6 linked regions of the Oryzias latipes genome follow. The protein of the gene in region 3 interacts with the protein of the main gene of each other region in a pairwise test. Links are inferred from orthologs where the notes say so. Each region holds a gene or a part of one and is shown on either strand. Other genes may lie near its edges. The genes, in order: setbp1, ube2z, plekhf2, frmd8, hspb7 and meaf6.

Region 1 (3,932 bases), on a different chromosome or scaffold from region 3:
CTGGTTTATGTATGGCTGACCCTTCCTTGGGCCTCCCTCACCTCCTCAACCTGAGCCTCAGCGTCTCCTCACAAACACACACACCTTGACCAGCCTCAGACAGCAGGCTGACTGTGAGAGGCCAGATGCATGACATAAATACCTTTATTATGCTGCTCGTGCTGCACTCAAACAGCATAAGGTCATTCCCCACGTTGCACGTGAGGACGTTCCCGGCAACATTTTGCCAACACGCGATTATGAGAGAGCGTGGATACTGGGATACGGGCTTGGAGATGATGCAGACAGACAATTGAGAAATGCACACAAGGGGAGAGCAAGGGATGGCAGCAGAAACACAACCATTTAAGGCTGCATACCCAGCAGCCCCAGTGCCTGAGGTGGACTCACAAATAGCTCGTACACACATGCAGACAGATGCATGCACACACATTTGCAGAACTGGTGGACTGTTTGCAGAAGGTGATGTTTTTCCACTTTTAGTTTTCTCTTATAGAAGGGCACTCACAGAAACCAAGTTACCCAGAGGACCAAATCATGGATTTAGCTTTTTTTTCCCTGTGTGTTACTACCTGTGTTGTCTTCTGCTACAGGGCAGCTGGAAGGTCTATAAAACACAGAGCTATCACTGAAAAGGATGGCCTCAGAGCTGCTTCATGAAGGATGGACGCACACACACACACACATCATCTGGAGAAGTCGCATGCCAGGTAGCACTAAAACCATCCTCACCTAACTACCTCGTACAAGCAGATGAATGTTAAACCATTTTAACTGCAGCAGAAGCCACAAAATGGCTGTCAGCAAAAACACCTCCCCTACTCCCCAACTGTCTTCCTCCTTCCCCACCACCTCCACCACCCCCCACCCTCCCCAGCCTCTGTTCTCTCCCCTCTTCTCTGTGCTACCACTTTCCTTTACCCTCCCTCCCGCTCTCGTTCTGTGTGCTCTGCCAAAAGGTGCTCCAGTGCTGATATTCCGTTAAGAGCGGCTGCCAAGTTTGATTTGTCCTTGAATCCTGCTCACATCCCCCCACCCCGACACACACACACACACACTTTGCCTCCTCTGATCCTGTTTCGACCCAAGTTATCCATCTAAGACTTGGGATACACCTAATCGATTTCTCATGCTTTCATTTAAAGGTGGCATGAACATCTCATTACCTAACAGACCACAATAAACCTGTTTGCTCTTAGTGTACCACAAAAAAGAGAGGATCACCTCCATCCATGTCTGCTTCAGCTCTTTCCACCTGCCTCTCTGCTTGTGCCCTTTCATCCGTCAGCACTTATTTCAACAACTTCCCTCCCACACCAGTGACAGATCCCACCATATTTTGCTTGACTCAATCCGGGTTGTCAATTTATCTTCTGGAGCTGCAACTGGGGAGTTTTGTTTTTTAAAAGCAACTGATAAACCACTGACTTTCAAACCTCTGAGAAAGCTAAAAGGAGATCAAGTCTTTTTTTCTTCAAAACTGACAGAAAAACCACATGAAGCAGCACCAGCTTTGATCATCAGGAGTGGAACCTGTGCTGTGGTTGAAATCAGGATCCAAACACATAAAAATTAAAATGAAATAAAAATGTAAAAATAAGAAGCTTTTTGTGGACTTTTTGTGGCATTTTATCACAGAGAAAAAGTATGCAGCATCCATCTGCTGGCTCGTGCCACAAAGTGTGTTACCATGTGGAAGAAACATCAAATTCACTAAAGATGGGGGCGGGGGGTGGGGTGGGGGTCCTCACATGCTTCATTATAAATAAAATGTATCACAAAAATGAACACTAATGCCTGCTGTCACTGAGTGACAGCCTGGTTTGAGCTGTGTACGTGCGTGAATCTGCGCGTTAACTTCACCAGTGCGTGCGCTCCGTGGATCTTGTCTGCATGTGGCAACAAAAATTTCTTTATATTCACTGAAATATTAAAGCTGCATGTAATGGGGTTGGGGGGAAGGGGGGAACAAATTTATGAAAAACGGAACAGGAACACAAACACATTTACAGCAGAGGTGCGTTCAGGTGCGCAAAAGGCGGTCAGCCACTTACCCATGTCTAACGTTGACGCGCAGCCGGCTTGAACGTGTGAATATTTTATCAAGATCATTTACAATCCATTTATCCGAGGCACATTTTCACACAAGCGGCGGATGGGATGACAGCCTCCCGGGGAGCTGTCAAACGCAGCCAGAATATGTGCGTCTTTCTGACAGAAAACCCCGGGGAAAATGGCGTCAACGGCGCTCTGGACACAGAGAAAAAATGTGTCTCTCTTTTTTTTTTTTTTTTTTTTTTTGCAGCCGATCCGGTGACAGAATCAAGGTAGCCACGTAGAAGGACGAGAAAGTCCGATCAGAAACTTGAGTCCAGTTGCTCACAGAAACGGGACGTTTGGAAGCTTCCGAGGACGAGCTGGCGGCGGTGCAGAGTGCGTGTCCGATGCGGGATCGCTGGTTACTCGGGAAGCTGAGATCCCTTGCAAATCCGCTAGTAAGGGAGGAGGAGGAGGAAGAGGAGGAGGACTGTTACTGCAGTCAAAACAAGCAACCCGCATCCGACTACAACAACCCCGAATCCAGAAGAATTTTTTTAGCGACAAGACCGCGCTTGTTTGCTGCGAACTGAGAGCAGAGGACGCGGCTGCAGGTTCGGATTTCGGCTGCGCAGAATCGAACCTCCCTCGTTTTTTCTCTCTCTCTCTCTCTCTTCGTTTCCCCGCTTTTCCGATCGGTGAATGTCAGGTCTCAGAACTGGAGTCTGGTAATGATCTCACCCAGCAGACTGTGGGCTCCGTCGAAGCGGAGCGGACCGCAGACAAGAGGAGGGACAACAACGCCCCCTTCTGGTGGAACACTAACTCAGCGCGTCCCTATATTTTCCCAGCCTCCCACTTGTTTTCTCCAGAGATTTCTCCCGAGGGATGGACGGCCAGTGGGTTCAATGCACCTGTTCAATGCAACATCTGGAAAAAAAATACCTGAAGTTTTGAATAAATAATAACAATAAAAACAGTCTTGTTGGCAAAACCTGTGGACAAAACACATTAATAGAAGAAGTAGATGAGTGAACTTTTTAAAAATTATTATTATTGGAATGGGAAAATGCTTTGATTTAGACTAAAAAGTTCACAAATAAACTGATGATTCATCTCACCTAAATAAAAAATCAGTTAATTTACCACATTTATTAACATTGTTAGTTTACAAATAACTAGTGCTTTAAAACTAAGCAAATGTAGAACTTTTAGCATCCAATTATCCTGTTATCTCAGATTTTGCTTTAAAACCAAAGCTCAGATTAGAGATCAAAAAAGCTGCTATAATTAATCATGAAGTTCAAATATATCCAATTTTGTTTCATTTAAATCCAGAAAAAACTGTAAAATATAAAAACAAAGTCCAATTCTTTATTGTACAACAAAATATATAATATACATTTTTCAAAAAACACACAAAAAAAGAAATTAAAGCTTATAGACACTGATTTTTAAACAAACAAAAGTAAGTGCAATGTGGAGATAAGAGTAAAACAGGTAGCACTTGATTGCTTTTAACAATTAAACCAAACACGGAAAAGCCTTTTTAAAACGTCAACAAGGTCAAAAAGCAGTTCTGATTTATTTTTATCTTTTGACTCTTCAAAGCAGATCTTGTATTCAGAAAATGTATGCTAAACCACACTTTTATCATAACAAAGCTGTTGCTTTATATCAAGAACCCGGTGTTTCAGCCTGCATCACAAACCAAGTTAAACATCATGTAGTAGTAGCTCAAGTAAGGACCAAGATGACAAAAGCAGTATCTTGATAAACACGACTGAACATAAATTCTACATGATGTAAAGGAATGAAATGCTTTAATGTAGAAAAATTGATTCAAGTTTTTGAAACTGAATCAATGAAAATAACTCCACGAGAGGACTAGACGG
Region 2 (3,500 bases), on a different chromosome or scaffold from region 3:
CAGTCGGATTTGTGCGTGCGTAATACTTGATTTGTGCGTAAATTAGGATTTGTGTATGGATATTCTTGCTTTGTGCGTTTGTAAATTAGGATTTGTGCATAAATTTGGATTTTTGCGTGATTTGTTACTCACATAATACGTTTTGTGTATAAATTAAAAAAATATAAAATGAAAAAAATACAAAATGCAATTTACGTATGCACAAATTAAGATTACAACAGCTTGAAACTACTTACACACACACATCTTTAAAAAACACGCACGAATCCTTTGTTCCGCACACACGAAGCCAAAGTTACGCACGGATCTACCGTGAGACTGTTTTCACGTCTCACAAATTCGTCCGTAAGTGCTGCGTTTAAATACCAGTGGAATGCTCGGTCACTAGAATTTTCCTATCAGCCTTCCCTTCTAAACGTATTTCCTTCAGTGGGTTTAGCAGGGCTTAAAAAAACTTTAAAGGAAAATAAAAATTATTATCTGAGAATATGACGTTCACTTTTAAACGCTAATATATATATTAAAAGTATATTATTCTCCAAGACACCGAATTGATACAAAATGCGTAACAGGAGCGACCAGTAGGGGGCACTGTTTTTTTTCTTCCGGAAAAATCAAAGGCTGTCAGACTGAGAGAGTCACGGGAAGAATGGCGGCCCATCTCGGTGGTCAGCGCCCCGAAGTAAGTAGCCTCTATTTTCAACACTTACATCTACTGTCTTCATGTATTGATTGAGTCATTGTCTGGATACGTTTAGAAGGGAAGGCTGATAGGAAAATTCTAATGACCGAGCATTCCACTGGTATTTAAACGCAGCACTTACGGACGAATTTGGGAGACGTGAAAACAGTCTCACGGTAGATCCGTGCGTAACTTTGGCTTCGTGTGTGCGGAACAAAGGATTCGTGCGTGTTTTTTAAAGATGTGTGTGTGTGTAAGTAGTTTCAAGCTGTTGTAATCTTAATTTGTGCATACGTAAATTGTATTTTGTATTTTTTTCATTTTATATTTTTTTAACTTATACACAAAACGTATTATGTGAGTAACAAATCACGCACAAATCCAAATTTATGCACAAATCCTAATTTACGCACGCACAAAGCAAGAATATCCATACACAAATCCTAATTTACGCACAAATCAAGTATTACGCACGCACAAATCCGACTGAGTCTAATTTCTCTCCATAGAGCAAGACCCCAATCAGAGCGAACGCAGCTGGAAATTTAGTACTGAACTGACTGAAAGCTGCCCTACAGACTACAAAACAATGCATTATGGGACATGTGTCCTGATGGGTTTTTGTAGTTCACTGATCAATTAAAATAATTTAAAATACCAACTGATTAAAAAAAGGCTACATCCATTACAAAACATTAAAATAATTATAAAAGATGTAATATCACAGATCATACTTAGGGGGAGAGGCATATTAAAACTAAATTGAACGTTACGGACTACAACTTCCTGTTCTCCTTCAGTCTCGCTTTAGCTTCGCCTTCATGCCCCCCCCCCCCCCCCCCCCCAGGGCGCTGGTTCATCTTAGACACGTCTATCGTTGCATTTTCCCCATGTGTTTTAAATGTGACTAAGACTAAATCGTGTTGTTGCTCACACGTGTTTAATGCTAGAGCCCCGTTAGCTGTCACGCATGTAGGTGTGGGACATTTATTCCCCTCAGCTGACCCGACTCCCGCGGGAGCGGTGTGCTGCCGTTACAGCCGTGCATGAGAACCGCGGTTTGCTTCGTGAGTTTGAGACCCCTGCTGTAGACTTTGGCCCTGGTACACCAGCCGCAGGTCGGAAGAACGAATCAATAGTTCGCTTATTCATAGCTCAGACGCACATATCAGGTTGTGATGATATTTGTCTCCGTTTCCTTCCCACAGATGTTTACGCGCGCTCGATTATCTCTAGGCCCCTCCCCCTCCACGCATTTAGCCACTTACAGTGACTTTCCCTATTGGTCCATTATTTTTATTTTTTGTATTTTTATAGTCCAGTTGGTTTTGAGCAGATGTTTGAAAAGTGAACTTTGTAAATGTCAACAGTTTGGCTCAAACCTGCGTTGCTTAGCAGCGGAGCCGCCACCAGTGTGTGAATGTGTGTGTGACTGTGTGTGTGACTGTGTGTGTGACTGGGTGAATGGGTCTGTGACTGTAAAGCGCTTTGTCCTTGTAGGAAGAAAGGCGCTATATAAGTATAAGCCATTTATTCTTCTCACACGCAGTGGCCGCCTCACAGACGGGCATCACTCAATGAAACGCGAGAGTGTGCTCGTGTGTCTCATGAGTATGTGTGCGAGTGTGTGTCTGTCTGCGTGCGTGTGCGCTCGCGTCTCATTGATTATTTCATTGCTCATTTCATTGATCATTGACTTGCCCCTTCCATGTTTAATGTATAAAAAATACGGAGGGTGGGGGAGGCAAATTTACTGGTAGCACATGTGTGACTGGATGTAAAATTCAAATTTTGGTCGCAAAAATGTCTGGAGCCCTGGTTCGTCTCTAACCGCCGGGTTTCTGTCGCGGGTTTTGTCTGTAGAGGATGAATGTCGCTGCAGCAGAGAGATGCTCAGCAGAGATTTGGAACGATGTCTCCTCAGATCCACGCGCTGATTACAGGACCGTTCGATACGCCGTACGAGGGCGGCTTCTTCCTCTTCCTGTTCCGCTGCCCCCCAGACTACCCCATCCACCCCCCGCGGGTGAAGCTCATCACCACTGGACACAACACTGTTCGCTTTAACCCCAACTTTTACCGCAACGGCAAGGTGTGCCTCAGCATCCTGGGGTAAGTCCTCTTTCTGCTACGTTACAGTCAGACATGCAGCACAGACTCAAACTTCCACCCAAGTCGGATTTTTACTAACCAAATCCATGAACGTTTTTTTCCAGTTTGGTGTTAAGGTTGGGAAAATGTAGTTTTAGCAGAAATGCAGAAGACGAGCGGGACCCGCCTCACTACTGTGAGGGCGAACCAAAACTAAATCTGTTCTAACCGTGTCTGTGTGTATGGGTGTGTGTGTGTGTGTGTGTAGGACTTGGACCGGTCCAGCTTGGAGTCCTGCCCAGAGCATCTCGTCTGTCCTCATTTCCATCCAGTCTCTGATGACGGAGAACCCGTACCACAACGAACCTGGGTTTGAGCAGGTAAAGCTCCCCGCCGCCGCCAACTCCAAAGTTCTGTATCGCCTCATCATCAGAAATGTCGCGATGAACATAATCAGACAGCCAGTGGGGGGCGTGGTTGAGTGAGTTCAAATTCAGGAAGGCACAAGTCACGTGATCACGTGATTCTGTGCAGTGGTTGTGAAACTGTGTCAAACCTTCTGGTAAAATTCAGGGTCTAAACTCAAGTGCAGCTCTAGTGAGTCTGGTTTCTGTTGCTGCTGCATCAAATCAAAAACCTGAAGACACGACAGTAAATCCACTGTTCAGTCATTAACGCTGTCTGAACTCTAAATAATTATCTAACAAGGGGATTTAAAACTCAAATG
Region 3 (4,013 bases):
CATTCTTAAAGTTTCTATGATCTATTTCACAAAACTGGAGGTACTTCTTAAATAAACCTCAAGAAGTTATAATAAAATAATTAATACTCCTTTGTATTAAATTGCACAAAGTTAGCTTGACAGAGTTTTTAAAAAAATCCTGATTTATGACTGACTGCAAATGTTCTCTGTTTAAAAAAAACAAAAAAATTAATTGTGTCAAATGTTGGTGAAAGCTTTTCAACTTTCTCTTCCACAAAGTTGGAAGCGCCTTGTTACCTGGAAAGGCCAAGCATGTCCTGTCCTGTTTATGGTCTGAATCATGAACTGGCACCTCATTTCTCTTCCCCGAGTTTGGCTACTGGCCCAGCTCGTGGTGCCTTCATGGTACATCAGAAAACCTCTCCTCAAAAAAGGTTGTTGGGGCAAAACAAGTTTTTGTTTGAATTTGTTACTTTTAAAAGGACTTCCAGCTGTGTTGAAACGTTTCTGTATGAGTTTAAGTTCTGTTTATTTTTTTAACTTTTTGCAGAAAGTTAAACTTCAGAGGCAAGGCTCTAGAGAATAGCTTGAACTATTTTTTGTTAAAATAGCATGTCTAAAGAAACGAAAATGAATAAATAAATTATTAATAGAGAATTAAGTAAATAGATAAATAAATGAAGTCACTTGTTTTGGATGAAAGAGTGGCTGACACCGAATGTGGGAACTGACGACTGAAGCATTTTATTTGAGTTTCTCTTTTAAATTACCTCAAAACAGGATATCATTGTTGTAGCTCCATGATGGGGAATTTGGCTATAACTCAAATGACTGAAGAGGTTTCCAAACTGAATATAAAGGGCGGAACAAGAAGCCTTTTTTTTATTATTGTGGTGTGTTTGTTTGGTGTCAGGATTTTATTTTTATATTTTTGTAGGCACATTGAATCTTTTTTAATGACTTTTCAGTCATTTAAAAAGAAAGATTTTCAAGAAAAACAGAAATGTAAATAAAGCTTGTAAATTTTGCATTTCAAAGAAGGCTTTCATAATCCACCAGTAAATTTGAGTACCAATGACTTTATGCGCACTTTGATTTTATAACCAGTAAAAAGTAGTAATCTTTCAGTGCTGTTTGTAATACTAAATGCACAACATGACAGTTGAGCGTCTGTGAGAGTTGAGTCCTTTGAATGTGTCATGTCAGTGCTCCGTTTTCCCAGCGCTCTGGATTTGAAGCGGAGGTCCGTGAAGGCAGCGCGGTGCTGCCATGTTGTTGTCTAATCCTCGGCCGGGGCAGTTTCCAGCTGCTGTTGCTCCCTCTGAACGCAGCGGCCACTTTCTCTAACGAAGATATCGCTTTTTTGGTCAGGAACTGGAGTACAACCGAGCTGAAAATTACTGAAAGTTTGACTGTATAACACCAGCTGCCATCAGGTATGTAGTTCTTCGAGTTTAAAAGTTGTTACTGTTGGTTTTTTTGGCGATAGGGCTAAAGCCTGGCTGCTTTGGCTCGTGCTACTTTATTCCTTCTTAAGCTAGGAGGTTGCTGGCTCTAAAAACTACTATTTCGTTTTATTTCGGGTACTTTTATCAAACGATATCGCAGATCTTGTTTCGGTAAGGCCTAGTGAGAAAAGTGGAACTATCTTATGGACCAGAACTAACTTTTGATGAATGTTTAGAAGCTAACTTCGTAGCTAGGTGGCTAACTCTCAATTGACATTGACACCAGTTTTCCAACTTGGATGACAATTTTGAATCGGGAAGTCTCGAGAACTTTGTTATAACTTTCATTTGGAGATTTTAAAAGTAAGCAATTGTGTTTTGTTGAGTTTGGAAACCCTTGATAAACTCCAGTTTATAGGAGTTTTATTTCCCTTTGAGGCATTAATTGGAGGGGTGAAGAGAATAATGACTAGTTTCCTGAGCAGTTACAGGTTTAGGAAAGACTCCAGATTACTCCACCCTTCTGAAACCTGTTCACGTGAATCTGGTAGCAGTTAGAGGTCCAGACTTGTTCTCTTGTGCTGTGGTAGAAGTAACTGTTCGATTTCTGCTGCTAGTTGAACTTTCTGTAATGAAAAAGAGAAGTTCAACATCATGTCTTGCATGTGTTAAAGTGCAGAGGTTAAAACTGCACAGAACTTCTCTTTAATTTTTACTTATTCAGCCTTGAATGCTAAAAGCTGTTGACGTGTAATCTGCTTGGCAGGTATTAAGTTGTACATGAACTTTTCTTTTTTCTTTATTTTAAAGTTTCAAATTCCTATCCCCTCACAAGTCAGTACATGCATTGACTACAGTGGCTGACTCCTGAACAAGTTCTGCTTTCTTTGCACAGAGGACTCTTATTTTTTGAGAGAACAATGTAGATGAGAAAATTGGTAATTGCAATATGTGCAAAGCACTTATTTAATTTTTGCTTGCAAATTTTGCAAATGCCACAAATCCAAATAATTCATGAAATTAATGCGTTCAATAATAACTACTGTTGTCCTATAATTTGGCAGCATAATGTTTTTGTTTTTTTAATCTGATAATTAATTAGTAATTAAATCAGCTGTGTTTCAGTGTTTGTACCTTCCCTTCTAATTAACAGGTTTAACCAAAAAAAAAGGTTTTAGTAGAAATAGTTTGTTTCCCTTTTTGTAATCCACCACTGTATATTTTTTAGCAAACTTAATCAAATGGTTGCAAAGTCAAGACACTTGTAAGGCAAAGCTATTTAAAAACATTCATTTTGCAATATGTAAGGGGAGAAGAAAATATGTAAAGTCAGAGGTCACATGTACAGTATTTCTGTGGCTTCTTCATTCTAAATGTAAACATGTAAATGCATGTTGTCATGTTCGAATTTAATGTTGGAAATAGATTGAAAATCACTGGTTTTAAGATTGAACACACAGTTTACTGGAAAAAAAAGCTTGCAGGAAATGGTTTGTGAGATATGATCTTGTTATCTAATGTGTCTATTGCATCTAATCTTTTTTTAGCTCTAAAGGTTGATGCTGCATTTGTTCGTTTCTTTTTTTTATACCTCTGTTTCCGGTATTAGTTGTGAAAAACAAAACCTGAGGCTTTTCTAGACTCAAATTCCATACATGTCAGGAAGCTTAGTGTCAAACCCTGTCCAATTTTTTAAATTTAGAATATTTTTTAACATTTAAAATGTTGTTTTTTTATTACAACGTAATGAAATAGTTGTATTAGAAAAAAATATATAAAACAGAAAAAAAGCTCGATTTAACATTTTAAAAATAAAAAATAAACCTCACAAGAAATGAATGTATCCACAAAAATTCCAATTATTTATGAGTATTTTGTTATTTCAGGCATATTGAGAAAAATTACATGATTAGATTCTGAAAAGACAGAACATTTTTACCTGAATAGGAAAACAAAAGGAAAAATTAGGTTTGGGTTACTATCTACATTTTAAATGATGTGAGTATTAACAAAATATTACTGTTAATATACCTTTACTGCATTAAAAACCAGTTTTAGGAGCCTTACATGTCTCTGGTGTATTTTAACTGTCCTACTATAGTTGAGATAAGGATGTTGGCGTATAAGATTACCACCACCTTTGTCAGTCTAAGGAACTTTCAATTACTAAAATTACTAAGTCACGGAAAAGAACACCTTATGACAGGTTTCCAGTCCTAGATAACTGAAGTTGGTTACATATAGTACAGGTTCTTATGTTATCAGTTATACAATATTACTTATGCTTTTGATTTGAGAGAAGTAATTAAGTTACTTAGTCAAGCCAAGTAATTTTGTCCCCTATTTGTGTTCAAGCCTGAATAGTAAAACTAGTTTTATTAGAGGTGACTAGTATGAAAACTACCTGACGGAACAGCAGACTGTCCGTCTCACTGCTCCCCTCCATTCTGGAAGGACAGGATGTCTGTAGTTTCCTTTGTAATCCAGTGTACTTTCCACCACATAATCCTGCATGTCTCAGTTTATATATAGCTACGGCTTACATTAATAGGGTTGTTACTTCCTTTGTGACACATCAAGCAGATAAGCAAAGATGTTACCTGT
Region 4 (4,023 bases), on a different chromosome or scaffold from region 3:
ATTGTAAAATGGAAGTTACACTTTTTTTGTTTGATTGCAAGAGACTGGACAAGATTTACACTTTTATTCATATTGTAATTTGTTGACAGACCATGTCATACCAACATAGAAATAACCCACTGCAAACAGTAACACAAAGGGAAAAAAAAGATAGGACAATATTCTGTCCAACAGTACAGGCAGTGCAGTAGGAATTGGTGTGGTCTTCCTACACCTCTTGTCGTTCCTGTATGTTAGGCCACAAATTCTCATCCACATCACAGCGAATGTCCCCTCTTGCAATGCAGCGAAATATGTTTGTCACATTATGACAACTTGGTCAACCATTTTGCAGTTAATGACTTATACGATGAACTAATGACTAGGTGTTTTGAGGAGTAAGACTATTGCACAGTGAACTATATAATTCATTTTGATCAACATGACATAAACAATTGATAATGTAGCAAAGAGCAGAGGATTGTACATAATCATTTGCATGGATGTACCAAAGCAATTGCAACTTATTCAAAGAAGTGAGAAACTGCTTATATGATGTGCACAAGTGACATCATGATGTGAAGATTGGACAAATAGTTTTGGGAATTTCCTTATGATCTGAAAATTGTACTAAAGCGACTGAGAAAAACTGTAACAAGTGGTACTGTTAATATGAAATATTTTATTTAAAATATTCATTGGCCTTTTCATTTTGAATAGACATATATGAAAGGAAAAAAAACATTGGCAGAGTAATCTGAGGTTGTGTTCGAAAAATCACTTCACATCTGATTTAAGAAAAATGAATTACCGGTAATTTATTTAAGGAATTAGACGCAACTCTGCAATCCTGTAAGAGAAAAAAACAAAGCAATACAAATGAACATATGCTATTAACACTATTGACACTATATGTGGAAAAATTGGTAGAAACGCGCTATACAAGTATATGACATTTAAGCCATATAATATTTACATATCTATGAAAGAAAACAGCCTGATATTTCCTAATCTCTAAGATGATAGGCAGAGAGCAGCAGGTTTGATCACGTGACAAACAGAGGACGCATGCTCAGTAATATTTCATATTTCATGTGTGTAGTTTCCCGCCCTGTCGCTGTGAAACATGTTCTCATGTCGAAACCTTGTCACTGGTTGAAGAACCTCTTTTTATTGGCTGTTGGGTCTTTTGGGGGCGGGACATATAAAAAAAACTAACCAATCAATCTGCGGTTGCGTTTTGACACTGGCAGTTACCCGGAAAGCTAGGTTAAGTTAGCTAGTGGTGTCTAGCCAGGTGAATTGAAGTGAACTGCTGATGAACCGATGAATTTAGCAGTCTTTCCAAAGTTAGCCAGACCTTTTTGCTTCATATTCAACGAGCGGAAGACGAGCTACAGTGAAATAAAAGTAGGTCATTGTTTCCCTTTCATGTATAATTTCTTAAGATTTGTATTTAAGCAGTCTCTAAAACGAGCGAGGCTTCAATTAACACGACTTTTATAAAATATTATGGACTTATAGGTTCCGCTTAACAGTCGAAGACATCAGCGTCGTGTTTCTCGTCATATTCGTTGAGTTTTTCTTAAGCAAATCGTTTGCTCACACAACACAGTAGAAAAAAAATGTCACGGCGGGTCGCTCCTATTTACCGACCATTGTTTGGTCACGGTGTCTGCAGTTTAACACAAGCCTAATAAAGTCGGTAAACTAGTAGACGGTGTCAGTTTTCAGTTTGTGTTTCATTATGTCAATGTTATATACGGATTGAATGACGGATGTTTGGGTTTTGGGGACTATTGGTCAACAGTCGCCAGAAGTGTTGAAATTCTTTAGGAGTCTGCTCTGTTGGAAACCACACGGTGGCGCTAACCTTCATCGACTATTGGCAACAATCTCCTTTCTGTAAACACGACTGGAAAAAAAACAAAAGGAAAGTGAAGATCTTTTAGTTTCTGAGCACGCGCGTTTTTAGGCAATGCAGGCTGTGACCTACACAAATCTTTGCAGAGCTTATCTATAACATTCAAAAAGTCAAATTTTAACAAAGATAAAAACTAATTATTTGGTCATTTTCTTATGTTGAACAGTTCAGGATTTATTCCTGCAACAATTAAACTCAGTAAGTCCCACACCGATCATCTCTTGATCTATTCTAAAAGAGTTCCCAGTGGTCTTTTAATTATGATCATGCTGTTTATAAGCTGTTACGTTTTCTATGACAGTTTCTGCAGGGCGGCAGAAGTTTATCAGAAATTTCCCTTTGAGTTGTGGGCGGGACTGTTGGCTCGGAGTAAGCCACTCCTCATTTCCCATCATCTCTTTGTTTACACTCTCTTCTGCTAGCCCCAACTCAACCGAGCAATGAAAATGGGGAGCAATATTAGAACTATCCAGCCATACAGTTCTGAGCCAAATGTCAGCTCAGACGAGGAAAGTGAGGTCGTACGTCGTCTACACATGGATGTATCAGAATGGAGCTGAGCGGGAGCTTGTGGCCTGCCAACTGTTGGACCTACATAACAAATCCAGTCTTCTTTAAACTGCATATTTTTCATCTGCTCAAATTCAGAACAATTTAAATGAAGAAATACTCAGAAATTCACTTTTAATCTTAATTTTCTTAATATGTCCTCCATCATAAAAACGCTGAAAACACACTTTTCATTGGAGTGGGTCTTTAAACGGGCACGTGCAGAGAGTCAAGTTTTTTTGTGTTGACCTTAATCACAGTTTTTCCTTTATGTCACACGTCTGGACTCACTTGTATGCTTGTTTTTTTGGGTTTCAGATAAGACATGGAGGGAGATAGTGGCAGTTTTCTTCCAGATCTGTCAGAGGATCTTTCACAAAGAGGAAGTGTTGCTTCCTCTGCAACTCTTTCCCGTGGTACGGTTCTACAAACTCCTCATGGACACTCTTACTACTTTCTCCACACATTTTGATGCAGTAATCAAATTGAATCGGTTTCTGTGTAAAAATGCCTCTTTTTCTAATATCCCCCCCCCCCCCCCAGTTCAGGAACTGCTTGTGTACTTGTGTGGCGACAACGCAGTGCACTTGTCTTTGGAGTCTCTCAGCAGTGTGACAGTGCAGGAATTGGGCCGCAGTGTTCGTGAGGCTCTCCAAATTCCTGAGTCTTTACATGATGCGTTTGCCTTTTGGCTTTGCTCCCCATTGCTTGGTACGTTTTTTTTTTGCTCTTAACCTAATGTACACTTAAAATAATAATGCTCATTGAAGACCATTCACCTTTCTTCAGAACTGCAGTTAAAAGCGAGGCATCAGCCTTATAAACTGTGTCGGCAGTGGCAGGACTTGCTGTATCGCTTCACTGAGGCATCGGAGGACGACATTGCACAAGGTAGGACCTGGACACAGTTTGATTCTGTCTCCAGCCAAAGAGGTTTCCGTTGTTAATGTTTCTCTGTGGTCCAGTTTATTTTCCTAAAAAGAAACTGCCATGTTTTCTTATGAAACCGGGACCATCAAAGCCTGTAAACATTATGATGTGATGTTCTATAAAGATAAATAGTTCTATACAGATTTTGACATTATTTATTAAACTCCAACGTTTTTTGCTTCGCAGTCTGCTCATCTGTACATGCCAAACAAAGCTGGTTTCTTCTGCTGCAGATGTTTTATGTGTTTTAGTGGTCCCTCATTTATCACGGAAGTTACGTTCCAAACATAACCTGCCATAGGTGAAATCTGCAAAGGAGGATTATAGATGCTTTAAAGGCTGTAAAACTACTCACTTCATGCACTTTTCTCAGACTGACATGAACATTTTCACACTTTTCTCTCGTTTAAACTTTTAAAGTTCAAACCTTCATAGAAAAATGAGTCCACTTTTACAGAATTAAAAACAAAGATCTGCTCAAGAGGAATGATTCATGTGAATCTGCCGAACAGGAGACACGGCATAGAGGACATTGACAACGTCAACAGGCAATCAGGACAGTGTTAAAAAAAAAATGTAAAAATGAACTGAAAATAATGTTCAAAAACAGCGAGATCACAAAAGGTAAACCGTGATATAAC
Region 5 (4,248 bases), on a different chromosome or scaffold from region 3:
CTCACATACAGACAATGCTAAAGTAAAAGTTTTGATACACAACTGAGGCTGATTTGACAATTACCAATTACCCAGTGATGCTCAAAGATGCCAAATGGAGCTTCCCTGATGTTTCTGAGTATTTTCTTGCCTCATTAACACCATCAGCTTTGCATTCAGATGTGGACACCTTCTCCAGAACTGCCATCTGTTAATCATCCAGAGGGAGACTCTGCATGGACTCCAGGGATCATGGTGAGCCACGAGAGAAAAAGCCTTTCCCAGCATCTGTGGTGTAAAGCTGACGGTGAAAACTGCTGAAGAAGACATCTGAGTCTCTGTGGTTCCACTTTTCCTCCAAAGTGAAACATGCTTCTAAGCTTCCTGAGGTTTAATTGGAGCTTTCTGCCTAAGAACCGGGCCAGCTGTTGAACACAAATTAACTCTGTCAAATCAATAAACACAGCTTGACACAAAAAGTGTTTGGAGTTTGATCTTAGATGTGAGGAGCCTCTGCTGTGAATGATGCTGGCAAACTGAAATATTGCTGAATGTCATGTTTCACCTCATACACGAAACCACAGGACTCTGATCTCTTTACTGTTGCTTTGTGACACTGTTTGTAGATGTCTCAACAATCATAACAAAAAATCATTACTGCAATCGTCATAACTCTCATCACAACTATCGTCACTACTGTCTTGTCTGCCTTTCCTGCTTTGTCCAGTGTGCGTTATGGGGTTGCTAGAACTTATTCAAACCACTACAGGCAAGGACACTATGAACAGTTTACCAGACTACTGAGAGGTGGGTGGACACACACACATACTGGTTTTCATGCACTTTTACACAGAAACCTCAAACACACCTTGAAATTCTATTACAAACAGATATATGCAAACAAAAACACACATGCACGCACACATATAGACACAGAAACATATACTACACGTACACTCACACACATGCGCACGCACACACACACGTATACATACACTAACACACACATTTGATTTGAACCTTTTCTCTAGGGAGAGAGTGTTAACTACTACACCACTGTGCTGCCTCCTGAAAACAACCAAAATCATCCAAAAAAATTCAGCCAGAGGATGAATAAAATATATTTTATCAAATATTCACATTTTAATCATGTGAAGTGATCAGTTGATCAAAAAAAAAAGCACTTTGTCTGCATTGCTGGTGACGTTTCAGTTTGGGTGCATGGTCAGGATGACCTGACTGTTGAAGCACTTTTCTATTTCTGTCTGCATCTGTGCACCCCCCTCTATGTTATCTGTAGTGTGTATTTGTGTGTGAGTGTGAATAAGAAGTCTCCACTTACTATCAGTTTGTCCGTTACACTCTTGGCTCTTGTCGTTGGAAAAACAACCATCTAAGGCTAAAAGTATCTTGAGACCCAGAATGGTTCATGCTAAACCCCAGGCTGAAGAATGTGCAGGAATGCATAAAAGCAGCCAGGATGGCAGGAAGAGGTCCAGCCGTAGTCATAATCAGTGTCCTCCAAAGCTCCTTCTCTGTATTTAGAGTCGACTGGGAAAAATCCTGCTACACTTTTTCATCATCACACAAGTTTTATGAGTAAAACGTTTCTGCGATTCAGTTATGTCGTCTGTGTCCTCCTCTTACCGCTCCTCATCTCGCTACAGCACCTCCAGCACCTATCGATCAAGGGGATCACTGAGCGGATCCACAGATTCCCTCGATGTTCTGTTGGAGCCCTTCCTTGATTCTTCTAACTGTTCCAGCTTGTTTGGAGATGACAGCAGCCTGAGCCCCTTGAGCAGGAACAGAAGTTCATCCAGTGAGCATTCAGGTGAGGGAATCATCTAGTTTTACCATTAAGCAGGCTTAAAGTTACTAAAACATCATTGTCATCATTAGTATGTCATGTTTTGCATTTGTGCTAATGAGGACCAGAGAGCAGGTTCCCATTACACCTATTTTATTGCGTTGGTTCTCTGTTTGGTTCAGGGTTGATCTTGAGGTCCCAGTACTGGTTTTAAGTGTTTTGTGGGTCACATTCCTTCTTACAAACTCTCAAATCTTCCAGCAATGGCCTTTTAACTGTTCCTACAGTAAAATCAAAAACCCACAGTGAGGTTTTTTCACCGTAGGTTGTAAAGATGTGCTTCTGCTCTAATAACCTTCCGAGATTTTGAAGATGAGGCCAATTATTAGCTGTCCATGGCTAATTTTATGTTGTATTTTTTAACAATTCTTTTATTCCCACATCATAAGATTTCCTTTCATTTATTCTGATTGTAGTTATTTTGTAATTTACGTCTTGTGTTTTCTGTTTTTACTTTTCAATTCCAACCAAATTCTAGTTTTAGAGAGCAAATGTTTGATTCCAGTTTTCTTATGACAGGTTGTCACTAATGATGGACAGTTTTCACAGTGAGCCGTAGAGGCTCGCTGCTCATGAGACTGCTGATTCTGATGGTTCTCCTTATTAGCCACTCCTTCAAGGTTTTCCATGTCTCCTGGACTGTGTTATATTGAGAGTCAGGAAGTAAATTGTTTGGGGGTTTACATGTAATGGGTGGAAGATGTGTGGTTACTTTTTAAGAAGTAAAACACTTTGTAATGAATTTAGCTGTATGAATAAAGTTTTGATTGATTGATGTTGATCAGTGCACTCCTGAAAATTGGTCCACAAGCACAGTTTAAAGACAGCACAAACATTTAATAAACAACACAAAAACTTTAAAAATATTTAAAACTCAAGTTAAAATGAAGATGTAAAGTATGAATGTAATGTATTTTATTTAAAGAAAAAAAAATCTTTTACATTGTGCATATTTCAATCAGTCAACTACTTAGCACTTTTCATCTACAAGCTGTTGAGCACAAGGTGCTTGACAGAGGAATATATGTTATTAGTTAAAACAGTAAAAAGTCATAAGACACAATCGATTAAAAGGAACAACATTTAAAGCAAACATAAAAAAGAAAGACAATGAAATGGCTAAAATGTGACGTATTTGACCATAAAGCTTAGTTTAGCATACCACATGTATGTCACACATATGTTCATCAAAGAGATATTAGTGCAAAATTCCAATTCACATGTGGAATAATCACAACAATAATTCTCCTCAGCAGATATGAATAGTAAACTCCCTTGTTCTATCCTAGGCACTTTAACATTGGGAGTTGGGTCATCTAGACCCACTACACAGTGCGCTGAACCTTTTTTCTTCAATGCTTTGAGATCTTCACTGGTGTCCATGGATTACATGAAATCTTTCCACCTTTATCCACCTTTGTCATGGTAGGGAGAACACGTCGATGTAAGGGTCATCCAAGATGGCACAAGGGTTTACATGGATACATGTTTTTTTGTTTTTGTTTTTTTTTACTTCATCTTCTTGTTTTGATGACAGTTTAGGGTTTTCTTAAGCAAGGTTTTTCTACTTTCCATATTCTGGAGCTGACATCCTTCAGTTGTTCTTTTTTGTCTCCACAGCTTCTGCAGGTGGAACTGTGGCAGGACTGCAGACTGGAGCAAGTAGCGGGGTGCGATGTGTTGGTGATACTTACTACATTTCTGCTGATGTCAGCCAGTTTGAGCCACAGGATATTGTAATTATGGCCTACAATCAAAAAATCGTCATTCAAGCCCAAAAGGTGAGTGACGGAAGGAACCCAGGCTGGTTCCATTTCCTGTTCAGGTATACAAAATCTGATTACTTTCTTTCTTTAGGACTAAGTCTTCTTTTGGTTGTTTTCTTTGAAGCTGATTATCCAAATGAGACAAAGACCTTAAGTATCAGATGAATGTAACCTCTGTTTGTCAAGATGTATGTGTATTTATGAGCCTTTTTCATATTGTCCATGTCCATCTCAAAAGAAACAGTAATGGTGCAGACCATCGCACCTTTTTCAGATATAATTTTTGTCTTTCGAAAGAAAACAGGTTATCTTATTTCAGCTATCAGGATTTAAACTAAGATACCATGTTTAATTCTGCAATTCAGTTCTGTCTTTTATATATATATATATATATATATATATATATATATATATATATATATATATATATATATATATATATATGGTAAATGGTAAATGGCGTATACTTATATAGCTCCTTTCTTCCTACAAGGACAAAGCGCTTTACAGTCACAGACCCATTCACCCAGTCACACACACATTCTCACACTGGTGGCGGCTCCGCTGCCAAACACAGGCGCCCGCCTACCACCAGTATATATATATATATATATATATATATATATATATATA
Region 6 (3,927 bases), on a different chromosome or scaffold from region 3:
TTGCCATTGAGCTGGCTTCTCAGGACTTGCCTTACTTGTATGAGGTATTTAGCTGTTGCAGCTTTCCTTGTTGCCTGCTCCAGGTTGCCATTTGCCTGCGGAATTCCAAGGTACTTGTAACTTTCCTCAATGTCTTCCATTGTTCCTTCTGGGAGTGGGACCCCTTCTGTGTGGACTACTTTGCCTCTCTTTGTCACCATCCGGCTACATTTCTCGAGCCCGAATGACATCCCAATGTCAGTACTGTAGATCCTGGTGGTGTGGATCAGGGAGTCAATGTCACGCTCGCTCTTAGCATATAGCTTGATGTCATCCATGTAGAGGAGGTGACTGATGTTGGCCCCATTTCTGAGTCGGTATCCATAGCCAGTCTTGTTGATTATTTGGCTGAGGGGGTTCAGACCTATGCAGAACAGCTGTGGGGACAGAGCATCACCATGGTATATCCAAAATTTGATGGACACTTGTGCAAGTGGCTTCCCATTGGCTTCATTTCCTATGAAGAGTCCTTTTGATGTTGTACAGCTCCAAGCATTCAGTGATCCACGTGTGTGGCATTGAGTCATAGGCCTTCTTGTAATCAATCCAGGCTGTGCACAGGTTGGTGTGTCGTGACCTGCAGTCTTGAGTGACTGTTCTGTCAACCAGGAGTTGGTGTTTGGCTCCTCTGAAGACTCTACCAATGCCCTTCTGTGTGTTTGCTCATGTATTGATCCATGTGCCTATTTATCTTGGTTACAATGATGCCAGACATGAGCTTCCATGTTGTGGATAGACAGGTTATTGGGCAATAGTTGGTTGGGACTGCACCCTTTGAGGGATCCGTCTAGATCAGGATCGTTTGCCCTTCCGTTAGCCATTCGGGTGAGTCCCATGAGCAGCTGGTTCATTTGTGCTGGCAGACGCTCGTGGAGTGCGGTGAGCTTCTTTAGTCAGTAGGCATGTAACATGTCAGGGCCCGGTGCTGTGCAGTTTTTCATACCTGAGACTCTTTCTTGTATGTCTGCCACTGTGATGGTTACTGGATTCTGTTCAGGGAGGTTGCTATTTTCTTTTGTCAGAGAGACCAGCCACTGGGCATTACTGTTATGTACTGTCTCTTTCTTCCATTTACCTTTCCAGAACTCAGTTCAAGTATAAAACAAGGTAGGAAGAGGGTCCTTTCACAACGCTTGGGCGCCACCTTGCGGTCTTATCTTTGTCGGCACCAACGCGTCTCCAGTTTTCCTGAGCGCGCGCGCCTCCTCCCGTCGGTTCCGGAACGAGCCATCATGTCGATGCACGCGAAGGCGACCCCGCCGCAAATCCCGGACACGCGTCGGGAGCTGGCGGAGCTGGTGAAGAGGAAACAGGAGCTCGCCGTGAGTCCGCAGTTCTGTTTCAGCGGGTTAAATGTTTTTTTTCGGAACCCGGGTTTAGCGCGCCAAGCTGAGATACCCGAGCATTAGCTTATGCTAGCTGAGCTAGCAGGCCGCAAAACCTTTATTGTGAATTGTCCTAACTAAGCATCGACCAAGAACAAAAACACTTTATCCTCACATCGAAAAAAACATTTAAAGTTTGTGTTTCTGCGTTTCATGTTTGAATGTTTTATTTTTTCACGTTTTTTGACGAACAAAATCCAAATTAGTTTACAGACCTGAAGCACGAACAGTGTGTTCTCGCGATACCTTACGTTTTGAAACTCTTTATTGTTCAACACCGTTGTTTACAGAGTGGAACCTACTAAGATTTAGTAGTGAAAAACCAAGTTACAATCGCGTTACATTTCTGTCATAGGTTATTTTTCTTATCTTTTTGCGACTTTTACTGTTTTCATCTCTAGTTGTGCTTCTAGTAATACTCTAAGTAATGGAAAATGACCTTTATTGTAAAGTACTAGTGCGTCACTTAAAATTACTTTTTTTGTCTAACATAAAACGTTTAACAACAAATTTGCTTAATTACCCAGTACTGTAGTAGTAGTTTTTTTGGTTTACATACTCGTTTGGTTTACATACTCGTTTTTTAACATGTTGTTATTGTTTGGACGACTACTCTTTAACTTTTGCCTCCTTAACATTATTTAAAATAATGTTTTGCTTGTACTTGAAAGATGTTTCCCGTCAATTTATTGACCTTTATTGACAATAACAAGCGTCAAATTCAATTAAAAAGTCTCAAAATGGAATTTTTCTTGAATTTAGTTGGAATGTATAAATGCATGTATCCATCATCTACCACTTCAAAGATAGAAAATGTTTTTCTAGTTGTATACTGACTCTGCAGTCTTGTGGATTTCTATAAACATTGAATTTAGTTCATAAATTGGAAAATTAGATGATTGGGTTGATCAACTAGGAAGAGAAAGACCAATTCTGGAGCTGAAAAATTCAAAGTTTACCTCAAGTGGCTAAATAATGAAACAATCTTTACCAGAACCTCAAGAGGATTTTCAAGTTTTTGATGGTAAAAATAAATGAATGAAATAAATTTTAAAAAAGCTATCTTTGTGAAAAGATAAGCACTGATCTTAGCTTGACCAATCAGAACGTCTGCAGTAAAACCGTTTTAACGACACAGGAGACGCTGGTGAACCTGGAGCGGCAGATTTACGCCTTTGAGGGCAGCTACCTGGAGGACACTCAGATGTACGGGAACATCATCCGAGGGTGGGACCGATACCTGACCAACCAGAAGTGAGTGTGAATGCGGCAGACTCCGGTGAGGTTAGATCTTCTGTGCGTTTGCTGATCGGGTCCTTTTCTTTTTCTGCGATCAATCAGGAACTCCAATAGTAAGACTGACCGGAGGAATCGCAAGTTCAAGGAAGCGGAGCGTTTGTTCAGCAAGTCCTCTGTCACGTCCGTCGCAGTAAGTACTTCCTGCGCGTGATGCGTTCAGCCATCTCATGTGAAGTTGCTCCTCAGTGGTCTCTTGTGATTGGCAGGCAGTGTGTGCGCTCGGCGGGATCCCGGATCACATGAACGAGAAGCGTGAGTCAAATTTGCCTACTTTCCTGGTGCCTGGGCCTCCTCAGAATGCCGGTTCTGACTTGTTGCCTCCCGGGGGATTCCCCAGGTGAGGCCGGCAGCGGCACAGAGAGCGATGCGTCTCCAGACCTTCAGAACCAGGAGAACGAGCCGAGTCAGGAGGACACGGAGGACGTGGACTCCACGCTGCACGACCTGAAGCCTCAGAAAGCCGCCTCCTCTTCCTCAGGCAGCCATCACGGGAGCTACAAGAAGAGGAAGAACAAGAACAGACACAGGTGAGGTGTGGGCGGGGTTAAAGCTGAGCCGCAGCAGATTCACCAGAACTTTTCTGTTTAAATTTGGAGATTTACAGCTTTAACAAGGCAAACTAATATATTTGTGTTATTAAGATCAAGAGAACAGATTACACTTAATAAAAATTACAATAATTGAACATTTTTACAAAATATGGTGATTTTTTTTTTTTTTTTTTTTTTTTCCGTCTTCTTCTGACTAAAAAAGTTGAAGTAGAAAACGTTCATTTCCTAAAAAAAATGCTCGTGTGATTGCTGAAGCTGGCTACAGATGATGATGATGATGATTAGGGCTGAAACGATTCCTCGAGTTACTCGACTTACTCGATTACAAAATTTCCTCGAGGAAAAAACTCTGCCTCGAAGCCTCGTTACATTCCTATGACGCGCACTATACGCAGGGATTTGATTGTGTCACACGGACCTTTTGAATTTAGTTGGCGCGATGGCGGAGAATAGATCTATAAATAAACGGCAGAAATTGTCTTAAGTGTGGGATCATTACACACTTAATAAAGAAGAGAACAAGGTGCAGTGTCTGTACTGCAAAATAGAGCTGGCATTCCACAACAGCACATCTTCCATGATTCAGCATCTGAACAGAAGACATCTGCGCGACCGCTGGAACCCCGACGCCTTACCCGCGCGTGCCGCCGGCA

Evidence for each region.
Region 1: the proteins of plekhf2 (region 3) and setbp1 interact in binary tests that used the Homo sapiens proteins (3 or more experiments, as listed by UniProt). The two-hybrid records come from large-scale screens. The link is inferred for Oryzias latipes from reciprocal best matches to the Homo sapiens genes PLEKHF2 and SETBP1.
Region 2: the proteins of plekhf2 (region 3) and ube2z interact in binary tests that used the Homo sapiens proteins (3 or more experiments, as listed by UniProt). The two-hybrid records come from large-scale screens. The link is inferred for Oryzias latipes from reciprocal best matches to the Homo sapiens genes PLEKHF2 and UBE2Z.
Region 4: the proteins of plekhf2 (region 3) and frmd8 interact in binary tests that used the Homo sapiens proteins (3 or more experiments, as listed by UniProt). The two-hybrid records come from large-scale screens. The link is inferred for Oryzias latipes from reciprocal best matches to the Homo sapiens genes PLEKHF2 and FRMD8.
Region 5: the proteins of plekhf2 (region 3) and hspb7 interact in binary tests that used the Homo sapiens proteins (3 or more experiments, as listed by UniProt). The two-hybrid records come from large-scale screens. The link is inferred for Oryzias latipes from reciprocal best matches to the Homo sapiens genes PLEKHF2 and HSPB7.
Region 6: the proteins of plekhf2 (region 3) and meaf6 interact in binary tests that used the Homo sapiens proteins (3 or more experiments, as listed by UniProt). The two-hybrid records come from large-scale screens. The link is inferred for Oryzias latipes from reciprocal best matches to the Homo sapiens genes PLEKHF2 and MEAF6.

Annotation. Positions count from the first base shown.
Region 1 is NC_019867.2:13,776,626-13,780,557, forward strand, and holds the start of setbp1 (SET-binding protein), read right to left. Parts: upstream 2,801-3,932; 5' UTR 2,055-2,800; intron 1-2,054.
Region 2 is NC_019866.2:24,083,111-24,086,610, reverse strand, and holds part of ube2z (ubiquitin-conjugating enzyme E2 Z), read left to right. Parts: intron 1-2,606; coding exon 2,607-2,794; intron 2,795-3,041; coding exon 3,042-3,153; intron 3,154-3,500. UniProt on the Homo sapiens protein: Catalyzes the covalent attachment of ubiquitin to other proteins. Specific substrate for UBA6, not charged with ubiquitin by UBE1. May be involved in apoptosis regulation.
Region 3 is NC_019874.2:25,811,256-25,815,268, forward strand, and holds the start of plekhf2 (pleckstrin homology domain-containing family F member 2), read left to right. Parts: upstream 1-1,213; 5' UTR 1,214-1,397; intron 1,398-4,013. UniProt on the Homo sapiens protein: May play a role in early endosome fusion upstream of RAB5, hence regulating receptor trafficking and fluid-phase transport. Enhances cellular sensitivity to TNF-induced apoptosis.
Region 4 is NC_019872.2:19,800,982-19,805,004, reverse strand, and holds the start of frmd8 (FERM domain-containing protein 8), read left to right. Parts: upstream 1-1,223; 5' UTR 1,224-1,389; intron 1,390-2,770; 5' UTR 2,771-2,777; coding exon 2,778-2,868; intron 2,869-2,995; coding exon 2,996-3,163; intron 3,164-3,241; coding exon 3,242-3,343; intron 3,344-4,023. UniProt on the Homo sapiens protein: Promotes the cell surface stability of iRhom1/RHBDF1 and iRhom2/RHBDF2 and prevents their degradation via the endolysosomal pathway. By acting on iRhoms, involved in ADAM17-mediated shedding of TNF, amphiregulin/AREG, HBEGF and TGFA from the cell surface.
Region 5 is NC_019871.2:18,813,604-18,817,851, forward strand, and holds the start of hspb7 (heat shock protein beta-7), read left to right. Parts: upstream 1-1,448; 5' UTR 1,449-1,602; coding exon 1,603-1,813; intron 1,814-3,469; coding exon 3,470-3,630; intron 3,631-4,248.
Region 6 is NC_019869.2:19,900,512-19,904,438, forward strand, and holds the start of meaf6 (chromatin modification-related protein MEAF6), read left to right. Parts: upstream 1-1,127; 5' UTR 1,128-1,271; coding exon 1,272-1,361; intron 1,362-2,562; coding exon 2,563-2,678; intron 2,679-2,765; coding exon 2,766-2,853; intron 2,854-2,929; coding exon 2,930-2,975; intron 2,976-3,060; coding exon 3,061-3,250; intron 3,251-3,927.